3 linked regions of the Saccharomyces cerevisiae S288C genome follow. The gene in region 1 interacts genetically with each later gene. Each region holds a gene or a part of one and is shown in the gene's direction. Other genes may lie near its edges.

The links.
Region 2: mutations in SGN1 (region 1) and FAA1 together harm fitness more than expected from each alone (negative genetic interaction), as found in Saccharomyces cerevisiae (2 studies listed by BioGRID).
Region 3: mutations in SGN1 (region 1) and YSR3 together harm fitness more than expected from each alone (negative genetic interaction), as found in Saccharomyces cerevisiae (2 studies listed by BioGRID).

What each region holds. Positions count from the first base shown.
Region 1 is NC_001141.2:355,615-358,444, reverse strand, and holds SGN1 (Sgn1p), read left to right. Parts: upstream 1-1,549; coding exon 1,550-2,302; downstream 2,303-2,830. Other genes in the region: MPH1 (3'-5' DNA helicase), read left to right, coding at 1-1,030.
Region 2 is NC_001147.6:907,518-912,018, forward strand, and holds FAA1 (long-chain fatty acid-CoA ligase FAA1), read left to right. Parts: upstream 1-1,825; coding exon 1,826-3,928; downstream 3,929-4,501. Other genes in the region: metal cation transporter COT1, read right to left, coding at 1-38; YOR316C-A (uncharacterized protein), read right to left, coding at 209-418. UniProt on the Saccharomyces cerevisiae protein: Activates long-chain fatty acids (LCFA) by esterification of the fatty acids into metabolically active CoA-thioesters for subsequent degradation or incorporation into phospholipids.
Region 3 is NC_001143.9:533,494-537,118, reverse strand, and holds YSR3 (sphinganine kinase YSR3), read left to right. Parts: upstream 1-1,837; coding exon 1,838-3,052; downstream 3,053-3,625. Other genes in the region: DYN1 (dynein heavy chain), read left to right, coding at 1-1,472. UniProt on the Saccharomyces cerevisiae protein: Dihydrosphingosine 1-phosphate phosphatase required for efficient ceramide synthesis from exogenous sphingoid bases. Involved in endocytosis and calcium-mediated signaling.

The sequences.
Region 1 (2,830 bases):
ATCAGATCGGATAATCCCTGAAGACATTATTCCGGAATGTCACGAGACATTGATCACGATTAATGATGAAAACGAAATAATTAATGAAATGGAAGATGTTGACGAAGTTATTCGTTATGCGACTCAGTGTATGATGGGCAAAAAGGTGAAGCCAAAAAAAGCCATAACAAAGAAGAAGAGAGTTCAGGAAAATAAAAAACCGAAGAAGTTCTTTATGCCTGATAATGTTGAGACCAGTATTGTTAGTGCAAGCACTTTAATTAATAAGTTCTTGGTGAATGAAAGTGGCGGGAAACAACTAGTAACGAGTAATGAAAACCCAAGTAAGAAGCGGAAGATTTTTAAAGCTTTGGATAATCTGGAGAATGATTCAACCGAGGAAGCTTCCTCCTCATTAGAAACTGAAGATGAAGAAGTCAGTGATGATAATAATGTTTTCATTGCGGAAGGGCAGAATGGATGCCAAAAAGATTTGGAAACTGCCATTATTCGCACTGGCGAAAGTCTTACCACACTCAAGCCACTTCATAATTTTGAACGCCCTAATATGGCTTTATTTGTGAATGATTGTGGTCTTCCAACTAAAATCGAGAAAAATGTGAAAGACATCCGAGGAAATCAACACAACCTTGAAAAAGAAAAGAGCTGTACTGTTGACAAGAATAACATGGTATTGAGTTTGGACGATTGGAATTTTTTCAGAAACCGCTATATCCCAGAAGGTGTTTCCTTCGATGTGGAGCCCAATTTTGTACAATACACCAAAGGGGTAAAAGTTCCGCATTGTCACAAAGTTTCAAAAATCATTACGTTATTTAACGACGAGAGTAATGATAATAAGAAGAGGACAATTGATATGAACTATACTAAATGTTTGGCGAGAGGCATGTTACGAGACGAAAAAAAATTTGTAAAAGTTAACGATAAAAGTCAAGTCGATAACAACAGTGTCAACCATGATTCATCCCAATCTTTTACCTTATCGAACGCAGAATTAGATGACATACTGGGCTCAGATTCTGATTTTTGATAGGAGACTCTTATACGTCGGCGTCTATACAAAAATAACGCTGCTGTAATATTTAAGTATTTATAGATTTTTCTATATATCGCATAAATACTTCAAGGACATTATATTTTTAGTATCAACTTATTTTCTTTAGAATTTTTCATTCATTAAGGATACGGCACTGTTTTTGAAGCAACAAAATATAAAAATTGAGCCAACGACGAGTACAATCTGTAATCTTCCACGCCTACCAATGCAAAACCTTTCTGTCATGAAGCACTAAGCATAGCGCTTCAATTTGTGGCAATCACCATAATAAACAGCTTGTTTCTTGGAGGATATGAAAAAGATTATCAATCATTCGTTAGGTGAAAAAAAACCGCAACAATTTCCTACACTCCGAAAAGTAACCTTAAAATGCAGCAAATTTCAAATTTAATTTTGATTAAGTAAGTAATCTCAACTTTCGCTCTCCAACCAGGCCTATTAACATAAACATATATCTGCTGTCACATAGTGTCATCATTTGCAATTGCTGTTATGTCCCAGGAAGAGAAAGTGGATGCTAAGGCAACCTTAAAGACTGAAATTTCGAACAATAAAAAGAACGACAAGCAAGAGCTCGAGCTGGATGAACTTGTGGGTAAACTATCTATCGAGGGCACTCCACAGGTGTCGCAAAAGCTAAGCAAGGAGGAAAAACACGCTCATCAACTTGAAGCTGACTCGCGTTCTATCTTTGTCGGTAACATCACTCCGGATGTCACCCCAGAGCAAATAGAAGATCATTTCAAAGACTGTGGCCAGATAAAAAGAATAACACTTCTTTATGATAGGAATACGGGAACACCAAAAGGCTACGGCTATATTGAATTTGAAAGTCCGGCATACAGAGAAAAAGCCCTGCAATTAAATGGAGGAGAACTTAAAGGCAAAAAAATTGCTGTCTCCAGAAAAAGAACTAACATTCCAGGATTTAATAGGCATTACAACTCGCAAAACCAGTATTTCCAACAATGGCAATGGAATTATCCCTTAATGGCCTACCCCAATCCCGATACCTTCCCTTATTACCCACCGTACCCTCCAAATCAGTCTCCAAATCAAAATTTCGGATATAATAAGAACAATTATTATAGGAGTCCTTACAATAACAAGAATAGAACCTTCCAAAAAAAACACTTCAACAGTGCCAAAGACTCTACAAAAAATATTAGATCTACTTCCCAAAAACCTGTTGTCATGCCGTCTGACAACGTTAAAAGTTCTACCCAAGAAAAAGATTCGAAATAAACACAAGGCTTTCATGTGTATACTTAATAATAATTAAGTGAGCTGCTGCTTTGAATAAGTTGAAGGACAACTGGTGTTATCTCGCTTGTCTATCCAAACCTTCAAGAATAGGGTAAATGCAAAAGCAAATATAAAATGCCACAACTACAATCAAAAAAAGAAATGTCATCGCTTGTTACAATATTTTCATTCCTTTATTCAAGGATTTTTTTTTTTAATTTTTCGTTAAAAAATATTGATCACTTTATAGGGAATATTATGTACCTGGCTACAGCTGAAGCTTGCCTCTGTATGTAAAGTATCTAAAATATATCAATTTTTTTTTTTGGATAACACCTGTTTTCATTACCCTGTATCTCGTATTCGTGAAAATAACTATTCTGAAGTAATAATTATAAAAAACATTTCGGAAAACAAAACCATTAATAATTTGTTTTTAATTTTAAATATCAATATTATAATAATTTATAATATTATAAAAATTTAATTAAAAATATAAAAATTTTCACGTGAATCATATGTATATAT
Region 2 (4,501 bases), on another chromosome or scaffold:
AAGGATATAATTTTTACCTGTTTGCTTCCGAGTTTCATATTTACTCAATCTTTCCGTACTTTGTGTTAACTTTCTTTCTATAGCTATGCAGAACTATTCTGAGCAAAGTGAAAATAATTGGTTACTAAATAGAACCAGAAATGCTTTTCGAGCTCCCACGTAGAATATATAAGACCAATAAATTCCTTTATTGTACGGATATTCTGCATTACAAATGAGTCTTCTGCTTTATGCGGATCGTCAGCTTATATTGCCTTCGTACAGAAAATGAAAATTCACTACTGGAAACGGGTGAGCGGATGTATGAGTGTATAGTATACACCCGGTTTTTTTTACCCTTTCTAAGACCGGAGCTGGCGACAGTAAGTGATAAGCGGCCGTTGGCGGCCGTGGGTGAGTTATGCATGGGAACCAGCATGAGCCAGCGATGTTCACTATAAAGAGATTAAATGTAGAAAGTGCTGAGAGACCGATCGATTGGTAAACTTTTCAAAAGGTGGCCTTCTCCACACTTTCTTTTTCCCTCGTTCACTCTGCCTTGATCACATGCTTTTTTCTATGGTTAACTTTGAAAAATTCGTTCCATATCGCCCGCCACAAGTTAAAACCAGATATGCGTGGGATATAGTAGGGTGGACTGTTAAGTTAGCTATAATGGGCTTGTACTCTTTTTGAATACAAAAACCACCTTTCTACACCTTAATACAAGCGGTGGTTGGAAAGCATTCTTGATATATATAATTATATGAGTTTTGAAAAAAAGTACTGGGCATCATTTAAATAAGCGGGCTAAACTTTGTTTATGTTTAGGTTAACGATAGACATATTTATTTTTTTTTCTAGGAATAAAAATGAAGAACGGGAAGAAAAGGAAAAATGAAAATGAAGAATATGAAGAGTAAACCTACTTAAAAAAAAAAACCATACTTTAGTATTTAATGTAGCTACCACGCGTATTCGATACACTATTATTTTTCTTGACTTAGTATGTCAATTGTAGGTAGCCTCATGATGCCCTCTTGATCTAAGCGCGGTGAAAGTCCGCAGGCAATTGCTATAATACTGACAAAATTTATAAGGGGAGAGGGTCTTTTTTCGGTCCGCACGGAGCGGGCGAAGAAAACGTAGCGGTGAGAAAAGAATACGTCACCAAAGTATCAGAAACGTCACTGCGTTGTAGATGTAAGACCGATCCACTTTGCCAGCTGCTTACGCTGCGGAAAGTAAACAGACCTAGCTAGCGGACCGATAGAGCCGGCTGAACTTTATAACAAATGCGCCTTCTAACAAGCGATGAAGCCATGCTTAGCGCGGCAAAGAGAATTACTTAGAATATGGATGATGCAGCCCTGTCATATTCTTCCATAAGGGAATGACAAGGACAATAGTAAAGTCGATCACGCCCTGTCAGGAACATGATCTCCGCCATGTGAATATTTATGCATGATACAGGCACGAATACATCATATAATACGAATGACACAGGGGCACCCACCCATCGCATATCAGGAGAACTTCCCTGTGCATACGGGACAGCAGAGATAGGCTGTTCTCGCGCGTTTTTTTTTTTTTTTTGCTTTTTTTGGTTCCTTTCGCGGATATCGTATTATCGATATTACAACAAAAATGTTTGGAGATCTCCTTCGCTGTCTTTAAGTAAAAGGCTTTAACCGCTTATTTTTCTCTCTTTTTTTCCTTTTACCCCTCACTTGTCGTGAGACAATTGTAGTATATTTAGTAAGTATAGAAAGTTCTTGTTGTTAAAAAACTCGTTAGGATACAATAAAAACTAGAACAAACACAAAAGACAAAAAAAGACAACAATATGGTTGCTCAATATACCGTTCCAGTTGGGAAAGCCGCCAATGAGCATGAAACTGCTCCAAGAAGAAATTATCAATGCCGCGAGAAGCCGCTCGTCAGACCGCCTAACACAAAGTGTTCCACTGTTTATGAGTTTGTTCTAGAGTGCTTTCAGAAGAACAAAAATTCAAATGCTATGGGTTGGAGGGATGTTAAGGAAATTCATGAAGAATCCAAATCGGTTATGAAAAAAGTTGATGGCAAGGAGACTTCAGTGGAAAAGAAATGGATGTATTATGAACTATCGCATTATCATTATAATTCATTTGACCAATTGACCGATATCATGCATGAAATTGGTCGTGGGTTGGTGAAAATAGGATTAAAGCCTAATGATGATGACAAATTACATCTTTACGCAGCCACTTCTCACAAGTGGATGAAGATGTTCTTAGGAGCGCAGTCTCAAGGTATTCCTGTCGTCACTGCCTACGATACTTTGGGAGAGAAAGGGCTAATTCATTCTTTGGTGCAAACGGGGTCTAAGGCCATTTTTACCGATAACTCTTTATTACCATCCTTGATCAAACCAGTGCAAGCCGCTCAAGACGTAAAATACATAATTCATTTCGATTCCATCAGTTCTGAGGACAGGAGGCAAAGTGGTAAGATCTATCAATCTGCTCATGATGCCATCAACAGAATTAAAGAAGTTAGACCTGATATCAAGACCTTTAGCTTTGACGACATCTTGAAGCTAGGTAAAGAATCCTGTAACGAAATCGATGTTCATCCACCTGGCAAGGATGATCTTTGTTGCATCATGTATACGTCTGGTTCTACAGGTGAGCCAAAGGGTGTTGTCTTGAAACATTCAAATGTTGTCGCAGGTGTTGGTGGTGCAAGTTTGAATGTTTTGAAGTTTGTGGGCAATACCGACCGTGTTATCTGTTTTTTGCCACTAGCTCATATTTTTGAATTGGTTTTCGAACTATTGTCCTTTTATTGGGGGGCCTGCATTGGTTATGCCACCGTAAAAACTTTAACTAGCAGCTCTGTGAGAAATTGTCAAGGTGATTTGCAAGAATTCAAGCCCACAATCATGGTTGGTGTCGCCGCTGTTTGGGAAACAGTGAGAAAAGGGATCTTAAACCAAATTGATAATTTGCCCTTCCTCACCAAGAAAATCTTCTGGACCGCGTATAATACCAAGTTGAACATGCAACGTCTCCACATCCCTGGTGGCGGCGCCTTAGGAAACTTGGTTTTCAAAAAAATCAGAACTGCCACAGGTGGCCAATTAAGATATTTGTTAAACGGTGGTTCTCCAATCAGTCGGGATGCTCAGGAATTCATCACAAATTTAATCTGCCCTATGCTTATTGGTTACGGTTTAACCGAGACATGCGCTAGTACCACCATCTTGGATCCTGCTAATTTTGAACTCGGCGTCGCTGGTGACCTAACAGGTTGTGTTACCGTCAAACTAGTTGATGTTGAAGAATTAGGTTATTTTGCTAAAAACAACCAAGGTGAAGTTTGGATCACAGGTGCCAATGTCACGCCTGAATATTATAAGAATGAGGAAGAAACTTCTCAAGCTTTAACAAGCGATGGTTGGTTCAAGACCGGTGACATCGGTGAATGGGAAGCAAATGGCCATTTGAAAATAATTGACAGGAAGAAAAACTTGGTCAAAACAATGAACGGTGAATATATCGCACTCGAGAAATTAGAGTCCGTTTACAGATCTAACGAATATGTTGCTAACATTTGTGTTTATGCCGACCAATCTAAGACTAAGCCAGTTGGTATTATTGTACCAAATCATGCTCCATTAACGAAGCTTGCTAAAAAGTTGGGAATTATGGAACAAAAAGACAGTTCAATTAATATCGAAAATTATTTGGAGGATGCAAAATTGATTAAAGCTGTTTATTCTGATCTTTTGAAGACAGGTAAAGACCAAGGTTTGGTTGGCATTGAATTACTAGCAGGCATAGTGTTCTTTGACGGCGAATGGACTCCACAAAACGGTTTTGTTACGTCCGCTCAGAAATTGAAAAGAAAAGACATTTTGAATGCTGTCAAAGATAAAGTTGACGCCGTTTATAGTTCGTCTTAATGGATCAACATTTCCATGATAGGAAAGCCTCATCATACTAAAGCACTTTTTCAGTTTTTTGCTTTAGAACTGCTACCAATTATAAAATAGAATGCACAGGTTATCTTGTTTGGTTTGTTATTATCCTTTTTTCTTCTTTACCAGTCATATCACCTCATTCACGTATGTTCGTAATTTATAATGTTAAAAATGGCATATATAGATATATTTATGAACATCCTAAAAAATAACTAAATTTTTCTACATTTCAAAAAAGGTAACGTTGACTGCCGCATGGCAGTCTAATTAGGAGCTTAGTGATACATATATATATATATATAAATTTCGGCCAAGACACCTCACATAAGAAGCATTACCAGAGGTGTCCTGATCTGAGATGGACCCTGTCTCATTTGTTGAGTTGACAAAATATCAGGGAAATTGATTACCCTGGTGTGCACTGACTCCTTAGTACTCATTTTCACAGCTTCGTACACATCATGGAAGACAAACCATAGCAACCAGCCGCTCTCATTCAATCTCGCATAGACTGGAAGAAGAAGCTCCAGAAGCATATCCATTCCTTGCAAAACG
Region 3 (3,625 bases), on another chromosome or scaffold:
AATCTGAAGAGTTTTTCCCACAGTTTGATAATCTGGTAGAAGAGTATTCTATTATCGGTAAGCATAGTGTCAAAATATTCTCTATGTTGGAGAAGTTTGGTCAGTTTCATTGGTTTTACGGCATTTCTATAGGACAATTTCTATCATGTTTCAAACGTGTCTTCATTAAGAAATCTAGGGAAACAAGAGCAGCTAGGACACGGGTAGATGAAATTCTTTGGCTATTATATCAAGAAGTATATTGTCAATTCTCCACCGCTCTTGACAAAAAATTTAAAATGATTATGGCTATGACGATGTTTTGTTTGTATAAATTCGACATTGAAAGTGAACAATATAAAGAGGCAGTTCTAACTATGATTGGAGTTCTCTCTGAAAGTAGCGATGGCGTACCAAAACTAACCGTAGATACAAATAATGATTTGCGGTACTTATGGGACTATGTTACAACCAAATCGTATATATCTGCGTTGAACTGGTTCAAAAATGAGTTTTTTGTTGATGAGTGGAATATCGCGGATGTGGTAGCCAATTCCGAGAACAACTATTTTACAATGGCAAGCGAGCGAGATGTTGATGGCACATTCAAATTAATCGAATTGGCGAAAGCCTCGAAGGAATCGTTAAAAATCATCCCGCTAGGGTCTATAGAAAATCTAAACTATGCTCAAGAGGAAATATCAAAATCTAAGATAGAAGGTGGTTGGATATTATTACAAAACATACAAATGTCGCTATCATGGGTGAAAACGTATCTGCACAAGCATGTTGAGGAGACAAAGGCGGCAGAAGAACATGAGAAATTCAAAATGTTCATGACATGCCATTTGACTGGTGATAAACTACCTGCCCCATTGCTACAAAGAACTGATAGATTTGTGTATGAGGATATCCCAGGTATACTAGATACCGTCAAAGATCTATGGGGTTCTCAATTTTTCACTGGTAAAATTTCAGGAGTATGGAGCGTGTATTGTACCTTCCTATTGTCATGGTTTCATGCCTTGATCACTGCCAGGACCCGATTGGTTCCTCATGGGTTTTCCAAGAAGTATTACTTTAATGATTGCGACTTTCAATTTGCCTCAGTGTATTTAGAGAATGTATTAGCCACCAATTCTACCAACAACATTCCTTGGGCACAAGTGCGAGATCACATAGCTACGATCGTATACGGAGGAAAGATCGATGAAGAGAAAGACCTTGAAGTGGTCGCTAAACTTTGTGCGCACGTATTCTGCGGCTCGGACAATTTGCAGATCGTTCCTGGGGTACGAATCCCACAGCCTCTTCTTCAACAAAGTGAAGAAGAGGAACGGGCAAGGCTTACTGCCATACTGTCTAATACGATTGAGCCTGCAGATTCACTCAGTTCATGGCTTCAATTGCCAAGGGAATCTATTTTGAATTACGAACGTCTTCAGGCTAAAGAGGTGGCTAGCTCAACTGAACAACTTCTTCAAGAAATGTAGCCTTTTCAGGTACGCGTGTCTTGCTTGTCCGCGGTTTTCTCAGTGGACGTGCCTATTCTGGGTTCCTCTTGTTTGATGAGACTCTGATATCTACAATCCAAAAAAATCGGTTGTAGGAAGATGGCGTGCTTCTAATTAAAGTAACGTGGGGACTCTTATTTAGATACTTCCTAACTACGAGCACGTACGTCTAGAATTCATGTTATATAACATAATGATTTTTCCTTATTTTCTTAGTTTTTATCAGCCTTGCCTTGGCTTCCTTCTCAACATCTAGTTGAATTGATAACATGACAAAAAGAAGTTAGGCAGTGGTAGTCTTCAAAAAAATATACAAAATAGCAAGCCTGTAAAAGAATTTAATTATGACCATTATTCAGACGGTTACTGAATTGGGTGTTACCGAGGACACCATTAAGGTTCAGATGGCTCCTTCCGGCGGCAAACACCTATTGGCAGATCCCGGTAATCATCCAGCGGAGCATTTTGAGAGCCAGATGTCGTGGCTAAGGTTTCAAACAAGGCAGTATCTAACTAGATTCACAGACAACCAATCAGATTTCGTACATTCTTTACAAAAAAAGCACAGAACGCCTTTTAGAGACGTTTATTTCAAATACACTTCGCTTATGGGTTCCCACATGTTTTATGTTATCGTGCTTCCCATGCCTGTGTGGCTTGGATACCGCGATTTAACACGGGACATGATCTACGTTCTTGGTTATTCAATTTATTTGAGTGGCTACTTAAAGGATTATTGGTGCCTACCAAGGCCAAAATCACCGCCAGTTGACAGAATCACACTAAGTGAATACACTACGAAAGAATATGGTGCACCCAGTTCACATTCTGCTAACGCTACTGCGGTAAGTCTATTATTCTTTTGGAGAATATGTTTATCTGACACACTGGTATGGCCAACAAAGCTTCTTTTACTGAGTCTGGTGATATTTTACTACTTAACCCTGGTTTTTGGTAGAGTTTACTGCGGTATGCATGGTATGCTGGATTTATTTAGCGGCGCCGCAGTTGGAGCTATCTGTTTTTTTATAAGAATCTGGGTGGTGCATGCTTTACGAAATTTCCAGATTGGTGAACATCTCTGGTTTCCCCTTTTGAGTGTAGCATGGGGCTTGTTTATTCTGTTTAACCACGTCAGGCCCATTGATGAATGTCCTTGTTTCGAAGATAGCGTAGCGTTCATTGGCGTAGTCAGTGGGCTGGATTGCAGCGACTGGTTAACCGAAAGATACGGATGGAACCTTGTATGTAGTAGGTACGCATCATGTGGTTCTAAGGTGTTCTTGAGGCCTCTGGTAGGTGTCGCTTCTGTGATTGTTTGGAAAGACGTCATTAGCAAGACAGCTGTCTACACGCTGTTAATTAAACTACTCAGATTTCACGATGATAGAAGCGAAAAGGTTCATTTCCATAACGAGACAAGTGAAGAAGAAGAGTGTTTATTGTACAGCGGTGTTTCCAAAGTGGAAATCGTCGGAAGGTTTCTCATATACGCAGGTATACCTACAACCGTCTTTTTGCTATGCCCAGTTTTTTTCACTTGGACAAACTTAAGGTAGACTCTCGTATGTATGCATTTAGTGACTTATACATATATATTGTATCTACATAACACATCATTGAAATTCACCCCGATGAGTACATATTTGGAATTCAGCATTTTTTTTTTCTCGCTTTTGATAGCCAGCCCATCTATGGTGCTTACTAATGTATAGAGAGGATATAACAATGAAAAATCAAGATTTCAGGCATGAGTCAAGACTTTAGCTCTTTTATATACCTTCAGGATGTTCGTACCATGCGTCGCAGGCCCTAGATCGGCGTTTTGGGTTTTACACATGCATGTTTGCCGTGGTTCACCCTCTTTTAACCCACAGGAATCGCTACTTTGACACCCCCGATCGTGTCTCTTTTCGGTATTTTGGCACCCTTTCTTGAATGAGAGCATGGCGAAGACTGAAAGGCAAGAACACCCTGCTATCTTTTGCCTACCATTGGCGAACGTCATCTTATCTAAGTAGTAAGCTGTATATAAAGATATTTGGAGGTTTTATTGGAATCTCATAGAATTTTCACTTTATCAGAGGTTTATTGACGAAGACTTTCGTGAGAAGTACAAAGTGAAGAAGTAA